Linked DNA regions of Caenorhabditis elegans. The protein of the gene in region 1 interacts with the protein of each later gene in a pairwise test. Each region holds a gene or a part of one and is shown on either strand. Other genes may lie near its edges. The genes, in order: memi-2, sex-1 and rpn-7.

Region 1 (6,577 bases):
GTGGCGAGGAATAAATAGTACTGCTGCTGATGCTGCTGCATTGTACGATTTTCTAACAGAGTATTGGAAGTGATAAGTCGAATTTATATGTTATATAGTGGTTACTCTCGCGTCCAAATAAGAAAAAATCACTTTTCAAAAAGGAAGAAGAGACACCTTCGTGTGTCATTGACAAGAAAATCTATCAGAAAGTAGTAGAAAAAGATATGAACTTTCAGTTTCCCGGTTCGTGTATTTTGTGTAATCTAGGAAATTGGAAAATCTACTTTTTGTTACTTTGAAGGCTGAAATCAGGGTTGACGGGCAACGATTTTTCCGGCAAATCGGTAAATTGCCGGAATTTAAAAGTTCCGCCAAATTGGCAAATTGCCAAAATAGAAAAGTTCTGGAAAATCGGAAAATTGCCGAAAATGAAAAGTTCCGGTAAATCGGCAACTTGAAAAACTCCGGCAAATTTCCGGCAAATCGAAAATTTGTCGGGATTGAAAAGTTTTGGCAAATTGGCAAACCGGTAAATTGCCGGAATTGAAACGTTCCGGCAAATTGGGAAACCGGAAAATTTCCGGCAAATTGGCAAATCCGGGAAACTTCCGGAAAATTGCCGGAATTGAAAAGTTCCGGCAAATCGGAACACCGGCAAACCGGCAAATTTCCGGTAAATTGCCGGAATTAAAAAGTTCCGGCGAATCGGCAAACTGCCGGAATTGGAAAGTTCCGACAAATTGGCAAACCGGCAAATTTACGGCACATTGCCGGAATTGAAAACTTCCGAGAAATTGGCAAACCGGCAAATTTACGGCAAATTGCCGGAATTGAAAAGTTCCGTCAAATTGCCGGAAACAAAGAGTTCCGGCAAATTGGCAAACCGGCAAATTTCCGGAAAATCGGGAAATTGCCGGAATTGAAACGTTCCGGCAAATTGGGAAACCGGCAAATTTTCGGCAAATTGGCAAATTGCAGGAATTGAAAAGCTCCGGAAAATTTTCAAAATTCTGGCAAATCGGCAACTTGAAAAACTCCGGCAAATTGCCGGAATTGAAAAGTTCCGTCAAATTGCCGGAAACAAAGAGTTCCGGCAAATTGGCAAACCGGCAAATTTCCGGAAAATCGGGAAATTGCCGGAATTGAAACGTTCCGGCAAATTGGGAAACCGGCAAATTTTCGGCAAATTGGCAAATTGCAGGAATTGAAAAGCTCCGGAAAATTTTCAAAATTCTGGCAAATCGGCAACTTGAAAAACTCCGGCAAATTGCCGGAATTGAAAAGTTCCGTCAAATTGCCGGAAACAAAGAGTTCCGGCAAATTGGCAAACCGGCAAATTTCCGGAAAATCGGGAAATTGCCGGAATTGAAACGTTCCGGCAAATTGGGAAACCGGCAAATTTTCGGCAAATTGGCAAATTGCAGGAATTGAAAAGCTCCGGAAAATTTTCAAAATTCTGGCAAATCGGCAACTTGAAAAACTCCGGCAAATTGCCGGAATTGAAAAGTTCCGTCAAATTGCCGGAAACAAAGAGTTCCGGCAAATTGGCAAACCGGCAAATTTCCGGAAAATCGGGAAATTGCCGGAATTGAAACGTTCCGGCAAATTGGGAAACCGGCAAATTTTCGGCAAATTGGCAAATTGCAGGAATTGAAAAGCTCCGGAAAATTTTCAAAATTCTGGCAAATCGGCAACTTGAAAAACTCCGGCAAATTTCCGGCAAATCGGAAATTTGTCGGGATTGAAAAGCTCCGTCAAATTGGCAAACAGGCAATTTTTAAGCAAATCGGCAAATTGCCGGAATTTAAAAGTTCCGGGAAATTGGCAAACCGGCGAATTTCCGGATAATCGGGAAACTGCCGGAATTGAATAGTTCTGGCAAATTGGCAAAACGGCAAAATTCCGGCAAACTGCAGGAATTGAAAAGCTTTGGCAAATTGGCAAACCGGAAAAATTCCGGAAAATTGCCGGGATTGAAAAGTTCCGAAAAATTGGAAAACCGGCAAATTTCCGGCAAATTGGCAAACCGGCAAACCATTTTTAAAACTCACAAGTACGCATAAATGAGCCAATGAGCCAATTCAATCATCGTCGGCCAGCCAACACAGAGCACAGATTATATGCCGAAACGGCAAATTTTGTGAGAAATGGAAATCTTTAGCCTCGCGATGACATTTCAGAGGCAGCAGCTGTTATTTGGAGCCCCGCACGTGGTGAGAGTGAGAACTCGAACAAAATTTAGAGAGGAGGAAAAGTTGTTGGAAAACGATCAAAGGTGAGTGTGGAGAAACGGATATGAGTAACCGGAAGAAGTTGTTTTTTGGAGTAAAGTAAAAAGAAGTTGTTTTTTGGAGTAAAGTAATTTAAATTCCAAATATTATAAAGACAACTACTGAATGTAATATATAATTCATCTCATCGTTAAAAAGATTGCAAAATCAACCAGTTCATATTCTGGCAATGTTAATTCAAGCAATATACATGTTAAACATAAGCAAAATAGTTTGGGGCAGCGGAGAATCTATATACAGGAAACGACCAAAACAAAAAAGGAAAATAAAATAAAGGGGAAAGTTAGTTGATATATTCAACAAGAACCACTGATACAATAATACAGAATTATGTACATTACAAATTATAGGACATATGTCTGGAGTTACTCGTCCTCTTCATCCAGTTTGAATGTCTCGAGGAACGTGATCAGGTCCTCGACTGGCACAATTCCCTTTCCCAGCGGGATCATGTCCTTTTCGATCTCAAATTCGTGGATTTCGACTGGATCTTCGACAATCAGCACACGTCGGTTCTTGCACTTCACTGTTTGCTCCAATTCGATGTACTGAAAATTTCATAAATTGAAAATCGAGATTTTATTGCTGCTCAACTCACTCTACTTCTCCCTGAAGTATTCCTGGCGTTCGAGTTGTTATTGTACACGATCCTCGTTTCCACGTGGCGCTTTCCTCGGATAGAACACGTGATTGATGCAGTCGAGGCCATCAGTCGGCCTTGTGAATCGAGTCCTGGCTCGAGATTTCCGTATTCCCGGCAGTTTGTGGTTCGCAGGTGACGAGTGGTAGTCTGAAAAAGTTATTGGCATGAAACAGAAAACTGTTTCTCGTACTCTGCCCTGTGATCGGTTCAACGTTGCCACCACAAAGCTGTCTGTCATCTGGAATCCTTCGTTTTCCATCTCCAGTTGTTCGAGCATAGCAAACAATAGATGGAATGGCATTTCAGTCGTTGCCTGGATCGCGAATCGAACCACATTTTGACCCGTCTCTTTCGGCTCGGCCAGGAAGGAAGTCTGAGATTAAATTTAATTCTTTCAGGAAAAATATTCTCAAGAAATTAACCAGAATCAAACTGGAGATATCCTCGACCAACAGCATGCGGCACTGAGCGGCGAAATAGTGTGGTCGCTGATTGGGATGAAGGAGCACGTGCTCGACAAGCGCTTTCTCCGATTCTCTGGTCGTGTTGAACCATCTTTGCGAGAAGAAGTCGTAGCGCTTGAGACGAAGACTTTCAATCGGCATTGTTTGAATGCTTCTGAGCACTTTGACAGCTTCATCGCGGATGACTGTCTTGCTCGGCTTCTTGTCGACGAGCTTTGGAGTCTCATCGATACGATGCAGGGAACGGTAGTTCTGATCGTCGACGAGCTCCACGTCTTCTCCATGCCCTTCGATAATTACATCATGATTGATGTTGGGTTGTGGTGGGAGGGCAGAGCAACCGGCTCGAGCGGTTTCCAGGTGATCTTCTTCGTTGTAGTTGACCACGTATCTGGTCGCTGTCAATTCGCGAAGAACGGTGCGAGATGGAGCTGACATTCTGAAAAATTTTGGTGTAAAAAATTAATGGAAAAGAAGAAAACAATGTGCTCAAGTGATTTGCAGATTAAGAATAATTTACCGATAAAGCTATGAAAAAGATTCATTAAATCTCTCTGAGCATCAGCTTAATACATCAGCAAAGAAGAAGAATTCACACGATCAAAAAATTTTGTTGGGCCTAAAATAATGAAATTGTTGCGCTGATTTTTCGCGGGGAGATCATTCATAAAAATTACAATATTCATTCAAAAATAAATACTTTTGGATTTGTTTTATTCACTTTTTTTAATGAAAAATTAACAGTGATTGGAACTTTTTAATAATTAAATCAAGATTTAAATATCAGAAAACAACAAAAATTCGTTCGAGAACTTTCTCAAGCCTACCGTACTCTTTAAAGGCGGCGCCTGAAGATTTTCACATGGCTATCACCACGACGCAAGTTAAATTTGACTTTTTACTTATAATTCGTTCTTTTTATTGCGATTTTTTAATATTTTCAGCATCGAAAAAATTTAACAAACGTTTTTCTTATTTTTAAAACGCTTTTGATGCTTTGTGCTCGTCTTAAAAAAAGCTGAAACGAATAATTCTCAAAAAAATTCGTCTTTTCTGGGTTACCGTACTCTTTAAAGGCGCATAACAATTTTCACATAGGTCTCGACAAAGCGTGGGAGAAATTTGAATTTTCAATCAAAAAACGTTTGTTTTGTTGCGATTTTCAGGCTTTTCCTCGAGTTTTCAACGCTTTTTGCTCGTTTTTTTCGCTCAAATAAATTATTTCAGAAGATTCTACAATGGGGGTTATCATCCCCGCTGTACTTCTCGCTTCGGCGACGGTGATTGCTTGGCTTATCTACAAACACTTGAGAATGCGTCAAGTTTTGAAGGTTTGATTGCAAAATTCATTTAAAGATAAATTGAATAAACTTTCAGCACCTCAACCAACCACGATCATACCCAATCGTCGGTCACGGACTCATCACAAAGCCCGATCCAGAGGGATTCATGAATCAAGTGATTGGAATGGGATATTTGTATCCAGATCCACGGATGTGTCTTCTCTGGATTGGTCCATTCCCATGTCTTATGCTCTACTCTGCCGATCTTGTTGAACCTATTTTCTCTTCCACGAAACATCTGAACAAAGGGTTCGCATACGTTTTGCTTGAGCCATGGCTTGGAATCAGTATTTTGACGAGCCAAAAGGAACAATGGCGTCCAAAGCGAAAACTATTGACACCAACCTTCCATTATGATATTCTCAAGGATTTCTTGCCGATTTTTAACGAGCAATCGAAGATTTTGATTCAGAAATTGTGTTGCCTCGGTGTAGCAGAGTGAGAATTTTAATTCTTACATAACTCTTTCGAACGTTTTATTTCAGTGAAGAAGTTGATGTTCTCTCCGTCATCACCCTTTGCACTCTTGACATCATCTGCGAAACTTCCATGGGAAAAGCTATCGGTGCTCAACTCGCGGAGGTTCGGGAAATTCTTCCATCTATTTAAATTTCTAAATGTTTTTTTTTTCAGAATAACGAGTATGTATGGGCGGTGCACACAATTAATAAGCTGATTTCAAAGCGAACAAATAATCCGTTGATGTGGAATTCATTTATTTACAATTTGTACGGTATTTAGTTTTAAAATTTTAAATTTATCATTAAAGATGATGTAGTCGAATTTTTTTTTGCTTTATTAGACTCAAAATTGTCTGAAAACTTCTCAAAAAAAATTATGACGGCTCAAAAAATGACCTAAAATTAATTAAAATTTGAAATTTGACCGAATTGTCAAGCGGCTGGAAACTAATTTTTTCGGGTATATAAGTTAATTATCTCGGGGTTTCACCTTCATTTAGGTATTTTAAAGTCGATGGACGGCGAGATTAGGTAAAAAAATTTAAAAATCTCGCCGTCCATCGACTTTAAAATACCTAAATCGAGTTGTAAACCCAAGATAATTAAATTGTATACCCAAAATTAGACGGTGATTTCGTAAAAAAATTTGTTTCAAGCCGGTCAAATCTCAAATTTTATCTAACATTAGGTCATTTTTCGAGCCGTCATAACGTTTTTTTTTAGAAGTTTTCAAGAAGTTTCATCATGAAATTCGGTGTTTTCAGACAATTTCGAATCTAATAAGGAAAAAATTCGAAAAAAAACATCTTTAATAATTTAACAATTAATTTGTAATTTTCAGAACAGAAGACGGACGGACTCATGAAAAATGCCTACATATTCTTCATGATTTCACGAAGAAAGTAATTGTCGAGAGAAAGGAAGCTCTACAGGATAGCGATTATAAGATGGAAGGTCGTCTCGCATTCTCGCGTCAAATATGCTGCACAATACGCATTCTCAGAATTTTGTGTTCCCGTAATAGAAAGTTTTAATTTTTGTTTTGACTTAAAAATGTATTTTTCTAATTTAAAGCGCATTTATTCACAACAAAAGTGAAAAAGTGAATATTACGTGTTTTTCAATGGTGCCGATTTACGGAAGAAATTAAAAATTGCAAAATGAGAAAATTCTTGCGAGGAAATAGATATTATCTTGCTCTCCTATCCCCAAAAAAGGTGTCGGTTTTTTGATTGTTTTTTCAGAAAATCAAAAAACGCAAATTTTCGTTTTTAGATTTTTCGAAAAAAATTTCGATTTTTCAAAAATTAGCTCAAAATTGTTCTTTTTTTTTAGAATAAATTTAAATATTTTTTCTCATCAATATAAACAAAATTAGATTTTAAAAAAATCA
Region 2 (8,866 bases), on another chromosome or scaffold:
AATTTAGCTATAACTTCATTATTTTAAAAACCATTTTTATCTCAATAAAATAAACTCCAATAACTTCAATTTTCAGCTTGAAAAAGATCAATACGATCCAAAAACCTTTTTTGCACTTCACGACCTGAACGGAGATGGTTTCTGGAATGATTTTGAGCTGGAATCTCTTTTCCAACTAGAGCTTGAAAAAATGTATAACGAAACCAACCCAGACGACGACATGAAAGAAAGAGCTGAGGAGATGTACCGTATGAGAGAGCACGTTATGAAGCAAATTGATGTTAATCAGGATCGCATGATCTCTATGCAAGAGTTCTTGAATGATTCTGACAATCAGAATTCAAATCCACCAAAGCAAGAAGAATGGGAAGATCTGGGACAGAAGAAAGTGTATACGGATGAAGAACTCCAGCAGTTTGAAAGAGAATATGCACAAAAACAAGGTTAGTTTGGGGTTTAATCCTAGCAGGCATTTTGTTCCATTTAACACTTTTCTGAGTTTTTACTAACACGCAGGCTTACTTTGATTTCAAATTATAAAGCTATTAAAACATTTTAAAAATGCAATAGTGATGCCTTACTTAGAATTTTGATTTTTAACTAGGATGGGGAGAACATGCATATGACCCACAACAAGTTGCTTCAGAACAACAACATCCGCAAGAAGCTGTCCAACAACCACCACAGGTATAAAGTTACTTAACATAGTAATGTAATCATTTGACATTTTCACAGGCTCAGCAACAAGTTCACCCTGCTCAACAGCCAATTCAACCGGTGAATGCAAATCCACCACCTGTTCAAAATGCGCAACCGCCTGTGCAACAGGTACCAAAAACTGACATTCAGAAAATCCAATAATTACTACCCTTTTTACAGCAACAACAACCTCCACAGCAACCACCGCAACAACCACCTCAACAAAATTTGCCCCCTGTGCACCATGAACCCATCCAAGATCACACTAAAGATCCAACATACGGAATTTAATTTATATCAGTTGTAGATTTCTAATTTGTTTTAAAATGCTAATGCTTTTGGTTGAGATAATATGTAACTTAATGTCGAAACCCGGGTTGTATACTTTTGAATAGGTTTTCAAACATTCAGAATTGTCATTGGCCATTTCTTGTCTGTCTATTCCTTTGTCGATTGGACCTGTTAATCCCAATTCGGACAAAAACTGCATATTATGAAATGAACGCATTTATCAGAATATTTTTATATATGAAAATAAGTAAATAAAAAACACTACCTCACCAATCTAGGATTGCAGTGCGAAAAAGAAAAAAAAACTTTTGGAGAGCTTTGCAGATTTGCGAATAGACAGCGTAAAACTTCAATTCAATAATTGGAAAATTTGAATCGAGTGAAAGAGTTAAACATTCGGAACATATAAAGAAAAACCTAATTTTAATTGGTTCCGTCACGGCAATCGTGAAAAAAGTCAAAATTTGTTTCAGCTTAAAAGTTTCAGCACTGAACCGAAATTATTAATTTCAAGAAGCAAAAACAAGAATCTCCATTGGTTAAGATGATACATTTGCGTTTGGAAATAGTTATTTTGTAGTTAGAATATCGCCCGCGAGCACAGTTTTATTGAAAATCTTGATTCTCACTGTTTTATATTTCAAAAACAATATCACTCGTCCTGTAATTTTCTCATAACCATAACTTCTTGTTTTCTAGCACAGTTAACGCATGAAGATGAAGCTCTTAGGAAAGTTAAAAGAATCATGCCTTCGTTTGGTCTTGAAAAAAATAAATCTTTCATAATGCATTAACATCTCCTAACGGAATAGCCAAAACTATTCTATATTGTTCAGTCAATACAGGTGTGCTCACTTTTTGCTGAATACTGAATAGTAAGAACCCTGTGACAAGTTGCTTGTTCGAGGTAAAAGTCAGTTCAATCGAGATCGGAGCCATTCTGATAGAGGTCGACGGCCATGTGTCTCGATTTTTCCGATGTTCGATGTCGATGTTTTTGGTTTTACTCGCATACGTTTTCATAATCAATAACGAAAGTAATTCTACAACTCGTTGAAAATTAAATAATTAATGTTTCTCTATTGACATCGGTACGCCTTTCATTTTTGGAGCTCGATTGGACTGGACCTACAGAGGGTTATTAAAAACTGCAATATTGAAGTTATTAAGGCATTCTTTCAAATACTAAATTTATAGCACGGAAATCATTTTAATGATACCAATCGTGAATAAACCAGAACCGTCTGGTTGTGATACTTATGACAAAAAAGATTAAGATTATTGAGAAAGAAAGCAAAATGCTGGATTGTGGCAATCCTTGCAAGAATTATTAAACAGCAGTCATCAGACACGTGACTTTTGGGTTGGAAACGGGCAGGAAGGAGAGATTGAATACTTAACTACATTAAAGCGAAATTATTTGAAGGTGAATTGTGTTGGAATGAAAACGGATGAGAATCTGACAAAGGTGGCTAGCAGTGAACGGGAGTCTGTTGTTGATTTGGCGTTGGCTGCTGTGGTTGAGGGCTCTGATGCTCTGGAGCAGGAGTATATTGGTTCTGAATTAAGTTTAATATTAACCTCCCATCTATAGCTCCTTAATAATTACCTCTTGGTTGTTATGGTTAACAGGCAACGGAAGTGTTGAGAGTTGGAACATTTCCACAACGAGAGGAGGCAGGTTTAAAAACGACAAATTTTCTCGAAGAATATTGAGTTGCTGTTTATGTAGCTCATCTGGAAAAAGTTGATATAAAATAAAACAAAATATCAGTATGAAATACAACTTACTAAGTCGATTCAATTCATGAATACATTTCATAAGTTGTTTGTATGTATCGCATCCGTCAATGCGGCATGTCATTTTTTGGAAAAGAACTTTCTTGTAAAAATCAAACATTTCCAGCAACTGCAATTGACTTTTGAAGTTAGTAGAAAATTGTTGTTCCGTGGTTAGTGGCTGGCAAAGAATAAGGACAATGAATAGTGCAATATCTCCGTCTGTACATCCAATTGTAATGATATGGTTTGCAAATGCAAGCATTTCGTCCGCCAATGATCCATAGAGCAGTTGAAGAGACTTAAAGTCAATGAGTCTTCCATCTCGAAGCATAAGCCCTCTGTTCGACATTCCACGAACAATGCGAAGCAAGTAGAGTGGGAAAGCGTTTTTCCTGAGTAAAACTGCTTTGTCGTTTCCGTTAATGAAATTAAATTTTGGAATTTCTTTCACAAAGTTTACAACTTCCTTGATGTCCACGTCAATTTCATGAGCATAAATCTGCCAGGCATTCAATCGATTCATTTTTGAGTCTTCATTGATTCTCTGAAACATTTTAACGTTTAGTATGATTTTAAAAACATGCCCAAAAGTTACTTACGACATTGAATGGTCTTGCAACAATACTTCGGATTTTAATGTCAGTGTAAAATGAGAAGGTAGTGTGTGCTCGGAGTACAGCTTCATATACGGCGTCAACTTCTTCTTGCCGTTCTAGCGTTGAGATTTCCGGAACAAAAACGGAATCGGGGCTCTTATCATCTCGCATTGCATTTCTGAACTTCATTTGGCGAACAGCTGAAACAACATTTAAATCTTTATTTTTTTTGAAAAACTTGAACTCGGTCTTCCAAAAAGTTTTTGCTTAAAACAGGTACGGTTTTCTTTTTTTTATGAGTTTTTTCTTTTTTTAATGAGTACTTGTGAATCCTATAGAACACTATTTGAACATGTGAAAATTTAGCTTGAAATGTTTTCAGAAAAACTAATGGTTTCAGGTTTTATGACGAATATAGAAATCGTTTTCGTTTCAGCTTATTGAGGCTTCACAGTGATCAAACCTTAAAACCTCAATAGACTTTGATTTCTAATAAATTATCATTTGTGTAAACCCTATTGAGCCAACTGCGTCAGGTGTGTTTGACACCACAAAATTGTTGCACACTTCTATCTGATCAAACTTACAATCTTTTGACATTCCAGAATCAAGGCATTTTTTGAAACGACAGTACTGGCATCTGTTGCGGCTCTCGCGTTTGATCTCACAAACTTGCTGTTTCAAACACCGGTAATCAATCTTGCGCTGAATGCTCCGACGGAAGAATCCCTGAAAGAAATAGTTAATTCAAAAAAAAACTAATTTGATGGCACGTGTCGGTGCCAAGAGTACGCCCCTTGTAAAGGATTTACTGCCTTTGTGCTGAAGTCGAACCATTTTTTGAAATCTCAAAATGTGAGCGGGGCGTTGTGATGTGTAAATGACCAAGAATAAAGAAGGGAAGAATGAGGGATTCAAATTTAAATTAGTCATCTTATCCGCTTAAACTTTCTCGTTCAGTTGATGTTTTTCTTTGTATCTAACGCACTTGCTCAGCAGACCAACCAACCATGTTTTATTAACCGTCATTATATGTATTTGCCGAGTAAGGCTTGTTCCTCTTATGTTAGTATGCATCCAAGACACTCGCACAATGGGAAAAGAGAGTCCTTAATGCACATAGCAATACACAGTCTCCAAATAATTGCGCAATTTGTGTTGGGGAAGTGCTCATTCTCTCGCTCTTGGTCTAACATAAGGGAAAACAAAAAATCAAATAAGACGGTCATAAATATAGGTTTCGTAAATAGAACAAGAAGGGGATTTATGAGTGGAGAAGGGTTTCATTAAATTCAATAGAACCACGTGATTAGTGATCATTTTAGGACCATTCATGCCTACCTTGCATCCTTCGCATGACGTCACTCCGTAATGGTATCCACTTGCTTTGTCTCCGCATACTTTGCAAAATGAGATCGCCTTCCCAATGTGATGACGTTGAGTGGTATGACCATTTGATAAGGAATCAGGAGGAGACAACGATGAAGTTACTGTAAATGTAAAATTATCTAAGAAATTTTAGAAGAGTCAATTTTCAAGTGGGTGATATGGTCATACAACATTTCTTCGATTCTTCGAATTCTTCTGTTTTATTCTTTTTCTAAACTTATTTACACATCAGAAATATACAAATTTAACTCAACTTGGCAGATTACAGATTTAACATGCTATGTATACCAGTGAAATTTATTGAAGTACACTGTGCACACCATATTTGTTTCCTTCTCAATGATGACGTGATAGTATTTACCTAGTTTTCCTTGGTCCCGTTCTCTCCGCGACTCAGTAAGCTCTTAGCCACATCTTCAAGATTTGTGGCATATGCGTTCTCATTGTCTCTCTCACTCTCACAGTCTTTTTACCACGCCTACATCGCACTCTTTCACCGTTCTCTACGTTCTCCTCCTTTATTACACTTCGTCTTCTCCTCTTCTTTCACCCATCGGCATTCTTTTATTACCGTACCCATACATCACTGTGGTCTGGCAGCGGACGTCCAAAGAAATGACGAAACCTGGAGATTATTACGCAACCACGTCATAGCCGCTTGCCTTCACTTTCGTTGTACAAAAGTAGGCCATCTTAGAATACAGGAAGATACGTGGAACAGAGCACAACTGATCTGGTCCCTATCGAGCTAAATATGATCCAGAGAGGGAAGAGATGAAGAATGATTGCAAAGTCTATTAGACTTTTTCATTTTCTCTGCTCTCATTCTTCTATCAATTAAATGGGAGAAATAAAGAAAAAAGGCGAGAGAAACTCGGAAACTTGCAACACTTCTCAGACACATGTTCTTAGGTGAGGAAAAAAATCTGTGTTGCTGTAGATGTTGCTGCCACTTGTCACCACACACTTGATGATATGCCCCACCTACTGATAGATTTTGATAGAAATAGACTCCCTAACTTACCACTTGTTGCCGGCGAGCTCACGCTGGCTTGTGACGCCGTATCATAGAACTGATGGTGATTGTACCCATTGACGTTATTGAAGTAGCGACGGTGTGAGAGAGGGTCAGCGTAGTTGTTGGCGTTACCACTTTGAGCTGCTGTCGATCCGTTTTGGATTTGGAATTCTGACGAGAATTCATCCGTCACGTACGTCTGCAAATTGAGAAGATTTAGTTTTCAGTTTAATTCCTGGATTTCTATTTTGAAACTACGCATTAACTTTGTAAATCAGAACAAAATATGAAAATGATGACGACAAAAACTTACAGCTCCAGTCGGAAGATGTGACCATTGACCATTTGTTCCTTCTGGTTTGCTTGCCTCTGATGATGGAATTGAAGCTGTTTTTCCAGAAGGGCTGTAGTATGGAGATGTGCATACAGAAAGCGGTGTGTCAGGATTTGTCAGTAACAGATAGTTAGGTTTTGTTTCGAAACTCATCTGAAAATTAAAATTATTGAGTAATGCAGTAACGGACAACTTTCACAGTGGGAAGAGACAGAGAATTGGTAAGAGAATTATCTGAAAGGTAAAAGAAAGAAATGGAAAATCTGCTGACAAAGGAAAAGAACAGCAGTTCGAGAAAAACGTGATAACAATTTGATGAAGAGAACATGGAAAGCTAGAATCTAGAAATCAACAATTAGTTTTTAAAGCAGGGAACTATTAACTAGCAATAAGGAAGGCTGGTATCGTGTATTAATCTGCGCTGAATGCCTGCCTGTGGGTGAGAGGATGGGGAGAGACGAGGAGGATAGGCGGAGCTGAGGAGGAGTGCACCACTGGGAGATTGCTCGACAAGCAAGCACATTTCGATTAAAAAAACGGGTGGCATGAGGTGAGCTTCACACATGGTTTTAGAGTAAAATTTTACCTTTTAATTGATATTTTAGTACCGGAAAGTAAGAAACGTGTTCAACTTCTTAAATTAAAATTCAAAAGTGATCTGAATAGAACAATTTCCAAAAGCATTATGAAGTTTCCAACAAATTCAACTAGGTTGAGAAGATGTGATACAATTTATAACTACCTAGTATAGTCCTTCACATGTTAAGCCGCTACTACACATGTGTGCATTTTTTTTTTAAAAGTTTTTGGTAGAAATCATGGATGCAAAAATTGATCAGCCAAGTCCACAATCACGCACAAAAATAAACGAAGATAGTTTGAGCGAACAAGATTACTGCGTTCTCCCCCGAGAAAATGATTGCGTTGTTCTAGGCAATTCTTGCGCAATTTGCAATTAGATATTCCATACACAATGTGTTGCATGGTTGCGTGCCTTTCTCACAGGAAAAAACTAGGGAAGAGGAGACGGTAAGATAAAGCAACAGAAGGAGGGCTCGAGATGAAGTACTATCCACTCGAGCTCACTTCACCATCATGTTAAGGTGTGAATTGACACCTCTTGGGTGAGGAGAAGTGACGAGATGTTGGGAAGCGATGACGTGTAGTGAGAAGAGTAAGATAATAATGTTTACAGAGTTGCAAAGAATCACACAGAGAAAACTCAACAAACTAGAGATATGCACAATGAAAAACAAAATATCGATCCAAAAAAGTGCGGACTGAGAGAGAAGAGGAGGCAATGCAGTGGTCCGCAATTGTTGGAGATGAAAAACGAGACAACTGTGATCGAGAAATGAACAGTCTGCAAAGGGGAGGAGAAGAGGCGAATGCGCACAACAAGACACCGTCTGGAAAGAGGTCTGCCGGTTTACAACCACCTTTAAAAATTGGTGCACATCGCTTGCGCATACACAACTTGGGAGATGAAATATATAGGACGGGAGGATACTCTAATAAGAGTGAATATTATTAATATCTCCAAAAATGGCACATAATATAGCACATAACTTCAACAATTAACGCTCGCCGGCTATTGCGTGAACTGTGTAACTAGTAAGGCATCTAAATTACTAACGGAATTCTAGATCACCAATATTTCGTCCTCCACTTGTACACTCGGACATAACAATACACCTTCGTGCACATCTTTCCCTAGCTAACATCTCTTAATGATGCAACTTATGCCTTTTCCCCGGTTTCTATTACGAAGAGACGTTTCAGTAACATGCACAATCTTTATGAGTTCACGAATTGCATTCCCGTTTCACAAATAAACTTCACCCTAACTTTGTACTTTATGGAAAATTCATCAAAACGACAGCTGGAACTGTTAAAGCATAAAAGACTCTCTGCGAAATTTTGTGCATCTGTCGATGTACTTTCTTCAAAATGACGAATTTTTGAACAATTCATAAATTTGTTTCTATTGCACCATGTTCTTCCATCTACACAGGCATTTTTCCAAGAAAAAAAAGAAAACAGCTGTTTCATTTTTCTCTACTCTTAACGATTTAAGATACATAAGCAAGATAAAAATCATCAGGAAAAACGTAAGGGAAAGTGTTTTCCATGACACAAAACATTATCTAACCGATGAAGTTGATTAGATAGTGCAATGCATGGTCCGTAAAAGGGGCATAATTAACTGATAATGATTATTTGTAATAGAAAAAACTATGTTCTGTGTTTTCAGTTGTTTTAAAGGGATAGAAAGTTTGAAAGTGTTAAAAACACTGAAACTAATATTCATACTGTTTGAATTAAGAAAATATAAAAATCGCAAAAAAAATATATTGATCTGGATGTATATCTAAGACAACTTCAATCAAGGATCGGTTATTAAATTTCAAGCTATTTCAATCTTAGAGCAAAACAACATGGTTTTCTATTGCACTTCCCAAAAGTGTAAATCTGGTATTAGTGGAAACATAAAAATCCAGTGACCGTAATTAAAATCAAAAAGGGAGACTAGCAAACGGCTATTGCGTTGGTTAAGAGTGCACTTTAATTACCCCACTTTTAGGCTATCTAGAATATAATCTATTAAAAAGGAGCACTCTTCAAATTTTCCAAAGGTAAAATAGAATCAAAGAAGTTCCAGCTCTATTGGAACATGGCACCCGAAATAGTTGTCTACACGATTCAGAGAATCAGTAATATACCTTACTCAAACTTGTATTCATTACTTCTTCTAGT
Region 3 (6,839 bases), 4.1 Mb from region 1:
ATTCGTGATAATTGAAGTTTTAAAAAACAGGTGAATTAGGAAAATCATTCAAACCAAGGAAACTATTTTATTAAACTTTGATTCGTGATTTTATATTGTTCAAATGATCATATTAAGATTTTTTAGTTGGCATTTAGTCTATAATTTAATCTCAAAAGTAAATAAAAACGGTAAATCTTGGATAATTTAAAATAACCTGCTCTCCAAAAACTTTAATAATCATGCTTGATCTTTTTGATTTGTGTACGTGAAAACTTCAAACAATTAGAAGAAAACAAAATTCTAATTGCAGGGTTTTTGGATTCTCAGATTGTTTTCTGGTTGCAATTGGTATTTAACTCGTTGACTCGTTGAACTGAATAACTGACTTAACTGAATAAGTTGACTCGTTGAACTGAATAACCAAGAACATAACCATGGTTTTATGATTTCAAAGATTTCTAGATTTTTTATATAAGTTTAAAAAATGATCTATTTGGTTATGTACATAGATTGAAAATAAAAATTGTAAATCGAATTATTCATTGATTCGTTTAATTAAACGTATGATGTGAAGAGCCAATACTACCAAAGATTGGGCTTCTAGATTCTTCGTGATGGGTTACGATCCTCTTCTGCAAATTCATAAATGGAAAATGTTCAAATTGAATCCTGAAACATGTTAAACATACATGTGAATATTCGGAGAATTGTCCAATGTCGGCTTTACAGTTTGATAATTGGAAGAAATTGTCTTATTACCACTTTAATCAATAAAAGAGCAAACTTTTTGTTATAACACAAAAATTAGCAAATTAGCAAAAATTGGGCCAAAAGAACGAATTTTACGAATGCTAGCCAAAAATTGGCCGAGTTGTAATCATAACTAACCAATTCTGACTTTATATACCAAGTCTGTAAGAGTTTTCCTAATTTGTAGAATGTGTTTATAATGCGAAATTTGAATCGCATAGGGAACAGATGAATGGGTGCAAAACTGATAGAGGAAATACGGTAAATTTTTACCGAACGGACCAGGAAATGTTTTTTTATTTTCAAAAAAAACAATAGGTATGGAACAAATTTGTTGATTCTGCGAAAAAATATTAATTGCGCCTACAGTACCACTACAGTAACCCAGCAGTATCACTCCGCCAACTCCAACTCAGTATCCCGTCAGAAGAAAGCAACACAGATTTGCTAGAACTACTCGAGCATAAACTGAAACTGTGGCCTATCTAATTTTATTTAATTGATAAGTACAATTGTTAATTTCTAGAATGTATGATACTATAAAAAATGCATTTTCAACTCGTTGTAATAATCACTATAAGAAGTAGTAAAAAATATGTCCGTAGTAAAAGAGTATTTGCCGATGTACTGGACTATTTTGTATTTTTTTTTGAATCAGAAGCGAAGTGAATATTGCCATTCCCAACCCCAGGGAAATAAGTTGTTATCCGATGTTATAGTGACCCAGAGACACTAAATAAGCAGAGAAGAGTTTGTAGAAGAGTGATTTAGACGAATAAACGGTGATTTCATTTCACTGCTTTATTTTAAACAGATATGAGATTATTTTAGCCCTATTGACGAATGAATAGGGCAATTTGAATGCATTAAAAACGAATTATGAACACTTATAGACAGAAAAAGTTAATGAGAAGACAGAATAAAACCATTGGTGTAGATTAATTTTGGAGATCAATAAGAAACTCCATAGCCGCTTGCACATCTCCATTCGCCTGTTCGAGAGCCAACTGAATGAGCTCATCATTTTCAAATCCAAACTCGCGGAGAGTCGCAGCTTGTTGTTCATATCCTTGCTGCATTGGCTCTTCTTGCTGCTGTTGCGCTGGCTGGACATTGGCGGGAGCTGGAACCCGATTTGCCGGAGGAACTGCAATGTTTGCCAGGGCTGCTTGGAGAGCCTGAAAAAATTGGCATGGAGAATTTAGTAGAAATATGTATTCAACTATTATTATATTTCAATTATTCTTTTCGAATTATGAGAATCAGTGTGTCCAAGAAATCTTACATTTTGAAGCAACGCATGAGTAACCGGTTGAGCACCTCCAATTGGTCGCTGAGCTGCAAGCATTCCTGGTCTATTTCTTTCCACGTTTGCATAATCAAGGTTTTCGTATCCGTAACGAGATCCTACTGTCGATAGAATATTTTCTACTACTTTCAAGAAATCGGGATTCGTGTACATGAATTGTCCCCGAATTGGATCATCTTTGAAATCGTTCTGAACGCAATAGGCACGGAATAATGACCAATCACTCAGAACAGATAAAAATTGATTATCATGAACCAGCTGTGGGTGTTTCTCAAGAAGCGTTGTCATGTGATCTGGAAGTGCAAAGTCGTGGTTGAAACCATGAAGCCGACGATCATTTGGGCGTGTATATGGGGCGGTACACTCCTTGAGAGCAATACTGATTCGATTTTTTTGCTCTTCTTCGATGTGGTTCTGAAAATCTTAAAATTAATTTGGGTTTCAAACGGAAAAAAACTGACATTTGTTTTAAGCGGTGGAAGCAGCACGACTCTGATTGAATCAGCATCAGTAATCTTTTTTAGGCTCTCTTCATTCAATGCTCTTCCGTTATAAATCAAACCTGAAAAGTGATTGATTCGATAATTGAAGAAATAAATATGATCGATAATTGAAGAAATAAACTTACGGAAACGTTCAACGTTTTTTTGGTCTTTGAATTCGGAAGTACTTTCTGATAAATGCTTGAAGAATTGGATCTGTCCAGTAGAAATTATCTCTTCGATCGGGACTTCACGGCAGGTGGTTTTTAAATGCAATTTAACCATGTTTCTCAATACAACGGGATGGCGGTTGAAAACTGAATGCGAAACAAATGCTCCGTTTCCTGCGTTCAAACGCTAATAACGAGAGCGCTCGATAATGAAAGGATGAATAAAACCGTGCGGCGGAATTGCGAAAGCATGCGCCGCGTATTGCAAACCCTTGTCATCATCCCCGCCCACTTTTATTCGTCCCATTTTGAATTTTTCCCCCAGTTTTCTTGAATTTTGATACGGTTTTGTCTGTTTATGCACTATGAAATAGATATTTTAACGTAGTTTTCACTGTGCCGCTCACTGTAATGTAAAATAAGGCACTATTACGAATTTAAAATAGATATCAACGCTTATTTTCAAAAACTAACAAACTAGACACTAAAATTAATACCAAATCTATATTTCGATAATTACAGCAAATTTAATGAAAACTAACTAAAATGCTATTTCACGTTTGAAATACCATTGAACAGTTTTATTTCCGTTTTGGCCGCTTTTTAACGTTTGCTACAATTTCAAGTGTTCATATTTCATTTTAAGGAGGATGACAGAGGCTGCCAAAAAGAGCACGAAGAAACCCGTAGATGATGGAAACTTCGATAAGGAGGTACGGATCAGTAGTTTTGAAATCATTCAAGTTCAGAGTTTTCAGATCATTTCAAGATGGCCTGATCTTGAGTTATCACAAACCAGATTCATGCTCAATCATCCCGAAGTAGACAGCAGCGTGAAAGAAGCCAAGCTCGAGAAGCTTCAGGAAACTATCAAAGAATTCGACATGGCGCCATTCTACGAGCTTGTCTGCGCTGACTTCAAAATTGTCGTAGATGCAACACAATTGGCTGCAATGAAAGCAGCTAATCAGAAAAAGATCGATGAAATCACCGCAGAAGTTGAAGACGCGGAGAAGAACCTTGGCGAATCTGAAGTGCGTCAGGGATTACTCCGCAAGTTCGAGTACTACTGTCAGATCGGTGACAAAGACAACGCTCTGAAAGCGTACACAGCCACCTATGAGAAGACAGTCGGTATGGGATATCGTATTGATGTAGTTTTCGCCATGATTCGTGTTGGACTTTTCTTCCTCGATCATCATCTCATCAACAAGTTTATCACCAAAGCAAAAGAACTTATGGAGCAAGGAGGAGACTGGGAACGCAAAAATCGCCTTCGATCCTACGAAGCGCTTTACCGAATGTCTGTTCGTGATTTTGCTGGAGCCGCTGATTTGTTCCTTGAAGCTGTGCCAACATTCGGATCATACGAGCTCATGACATATGAAAACTTGATTCTCTACACTGTCATCACCACAACCTTTGCTTTGGACAGACCAGACCTTCGTACCAAGGTTATTCGTTGCAATGAAGTTCAAGAACAGCTGACCGGAGGGGGACTCAATGGAACATTGATTCCAGTTCGTGAGTATCTCGAATCATACTATGATTGTCACTACGATCGTTTCTTCATTCAGTTGGCCGCTCTTGAAAGCGAGAGAGTAAGTTACTAAAACAAATCTTGTATTTTTCACTTATCGTTATATTTCAGTTCAAGTTTGATCGCTATCTATCGCCACACTTCAACTATTACTCTCGTGGAATGCGCCATCGCGCTTACGAACAATTTTTGACTCCTTACAAGACTGTACGTATCGATATGATGGCCAAGGATTTTGGTGTTTCCCGTGCTTTCATCGACCGCGAATTGCACCGTCTGATTGCGACTGGGCAATTGCAATGTCGTATTGATGCTGTTAACGGAGTGATTGAAGTGAATCATCGTGACTCGAAGAATCATCTGTACAAGGCAGTTATCAAGGATGGAGATATATTGCTCAACCGCATTCAGAAGCTTGCCAGAGTTATCAATGCATAACCGAGCCCAGTTCTTCAAACGTGTAAATCCTTTTATTTTACCCTATTCTTCTTCTCCCGTATTATTTCTTTGCGTTAACTCGCTTTGAATCTCCCCACTTCTTCATCATTTCCGGTTGAATGAATTAATTTATTACCATCGCTGTATTTTTAAAACTGTATTCACACTTTCTTGGTCAAATACCAATTGTTTTATTATCTTTAAAATGTTTTTACATGTTATTTAATACCACTTCTTCACTTCTTCACTTCTTCATTTCTTTATTTCTTTATCCACATCGCTGCGATGTAGATCCGCTGTTTATTTTTCAATCGTTCATAAGTTGATGTTCCAGGAGCACAGTACGTTGCTCGCAGCGAGTTTTTGAAGAATTTAACGAAGAAAGGAGCCTAAAATATTTATATACAAATTTTTTAACTTTTGGCCTAGTTTACTTTCTCTAGTAGCCTATCATATTTTCTCGCTGAATATTTTAAGCCCTCAACTACTTCATCAGTGCAAAACTCGAAATGTTTCTTTACAAAACCGGCTGCTGTGGCTGTCTCCTGAATCTGTTTTGCCTGTAATCACTAGCTGTATTTATATAAATTTTACAAGTAGACTAACCTCATGGGGATATCGAATGTCCATGTAGCAGAAGGCACCACCCGATCGCAAAACTCGTGAGCCCTCTTTGAAAAATAGTTTGTAGTCCGAGTAAAGATGAGCTGCTTCCACATTCAAAACTTAATTTCAAGATGTTTTTGGTATTTTTTGATATGATCCTACCAAAATCAAACGAATTATCTGCAAACGGTAAATCTAGTGCATCTCCGTAGACTATGTTATTCATATTTCTAGTGACAACTTTATCACAGCCAATGATGCATTTTGTTGGTCCATGCCACCTGTGTTCCATATTTCTCGTTTTAAAAAAAATGCAAGACACTTACTTTTCTATCCAATCGAGAGAGTACCCTTGACCACAGCTCACTTCAAGAATTTCAAATTGTTCAAAATAAGGATAATTTGGATGCATTGATAATGCTTTTTCATAGAGATAAATATGAGCTCGATCCGACTCTGAACATTTAAATTAACAAGGAAACCTCGATTAGTGTTTTCATTTTACCGTATTCATCTAGGTCACCTAGATCTTCCATGAACATTCTCATTTTTGCGTACTGAGGTGCTGATGATGGCCAGTAGCCCAAATTCATGAAACGAACACCTAACTTTGGTGCTACTATTCTCATTAATGGATACATTATGAATCTATCAAAAAACCAAAGCCATAACTGTAGTAATAGAGAGGAAATGTGAAGTAGGAGATTCATAGTGAATATGTGTTTACGAGTAAATGTATTCTTGTACAATTATTGTTCGAAATATAATCTTTGTGAAATTAGCTCTATAAAACTCAATTTCAGCCAATCATCATCATGTCCGGACGTCAAGGAGGAAAGGCAAAGCCACTGAAGGCCGCAAAAAAAACGGAGAAGGATCTTTCTGAGGTGAAAATGATGATGATACTAGATATTTTATACTTATCATGGGCGTAATATTGCAAAAAAAAACTAATTGATTAATGAGAGAAGAAATCCAATAGATCAGTTTTTCGTTCAATATTGTCACACTTTTGAGCGTAGGTTGATGAAAACGATAATCTCATATAATTTTTTGAACACTTATCAAGAAATCATGATACTTGGAGGCGCCATGGTTCCGTACACCGAATAGGATTTTAAATTTTGAATGAGTTGTTAATATAAATAGTCATTTGAAACGGTCATAGTGAGAATTTTTGATCCGAAAAATGTATAATAATTTCATGGTTACAGGAAGACGTCGAGTTCAAGAAGAAGCAACAAGAGGAAGCCAAAAAGATCAAGGAGATGGCAGCCAAGGCTGGACAACGTGGACCACTTCGTAAGTTATTTGTTAACAGTAAAATAACATTAAACTATCAACCTGTTTTGCAGTCGGTGGAGGAATCAAGAAATCAGGAAAGAAGTAATTGCCTCGGTCAAATATTATGCCATCTCATCCGCAACCTCTGTTATTAATTCGTCAAATGACTCGTTATTTCATCCATTTCCGTTCCATATTTTACATATTCTTCGTTCCGTTCTGCTCATTCCCTTTTTGATAATTTCAACATCACTATATTTCTACGAATGAATTGTTAT

Evidence for each region.
Region 2: the proteins of memi-2 (region 1) and sex-1 interact in a two-hybrid assay, tested with the Caenorhabditis elegans proteins (2 studies listed by BioGRID).
Region 3: the proteins of memi-2 (region 1) and rpn-7 interact in a two-hybrid assay, tested with the Caenorhabditis elegans proteins (2 studies listed by BioGRID).

What each region holds. Positions count from the first base shown.
Region 1 is NC_003282.8:13,396,688-13,403,264, forward strand, and holds memi-2 (MEiosis-to-MItosis transition associated), read right to left. Parts: upstream 3,820-6,577; 5' UTR 3,819-3,819; coding exon 3,339-3,818; intron 3,290-3,338; coding exon 3,107-3,289; intron 3,064-3,106; coding exon 2,872-3,063; intron 2,822-2,871; coding exon 2,639-2,821; 3' UTR 2,381-2,638; downstream 1-2,380. Other genes in the region: cyp-31A5 (CYtochrome P450 family), read left to right, coding at 4,619-4,711, 4,758-5,161, 5,209-5,305, 5,357-5,451, 6,026-6,211.
Region 2 is NC_003284.9:10,199,160-10,208,025, forward strand, and holds sex-1 (Steroid hormone receptor family member cnr14), read right to left. Parts: upstream 6,263-8,866; coding exon 6,089-6,262; intron 5,975-6,088; coding exon 5,782-5,974; intron 4,859-5,781; coding exon 4,710-4,858; intron 4,098-4,709; coding exon 3,956-4,097; intron 3,569-3,955; coding exon 3,372-3,568; intron 3,317-3,371; coding exon 2,782-3,316; intron 2,728-2,781; coding exon 2,600-2,727; intron 2,550-2,599; coding exon 2,463-2,549; 3' UTR 2,170-2,462; downstream 1-2,169. Other genes in the region: nucb-1 (NUCB1-like N-terminal domain-containing protein), read left to right, coding at 77-443, 605-687, 736-828, 880-990. UniProt on the Caenorhabditis elegans protein: Transcriptional regulator which is involved in the sex determination and X chromosome dosage compensation pathways.
Region 3 is NC_003282.8:9,313,300-9,320,138, forward strand, and holds rpn-7 (26S proteasome non-ATPase regulatory subunit 6), read left to right. Parts: upstream 1-3,339; 5' UTR 3,340-3,343; coding exon 3,344-3,406; intron 3,407-3,451; coding exon 3,452-4,294; intron 4,295-4,344; coding exon 4,345-4,671; 3' UTR 4,672-4,931; coding exon of another isoform or gene 4,932-5,060; 3' UTR 5,061-5,105; coding exon of another isoform or gene 5,106-5,231; 3' UTR 5,232-5,277; downstream 5,278-6,839. Other genes in the region: F49C12.9 (UBA domain-containing protein), read right to left, coding at 1,671-1,910, 2,018-2,455, 2,503-2,603, 2,670-2,808; nemt-1 (Methyltransferase type 11 domain-containing protein), read right to left, coding at 4,932-5,060, 5,106-5,231, 5,278-5,396, 5,440-5,558, 5,604-5,733, 5,783-5,987; F49C12.11 (Translation machinery-associated protein 7 homolog), read left to right, coding at 6,093-6,164, 6,492-6,579, 6,633-6,667. UniProt on the Caenorhabditis elegans protein: Acts as a regulatory subunit of the 26S proteasome which is involved in the ATP-dependent degradation of ubiquitinated proteins.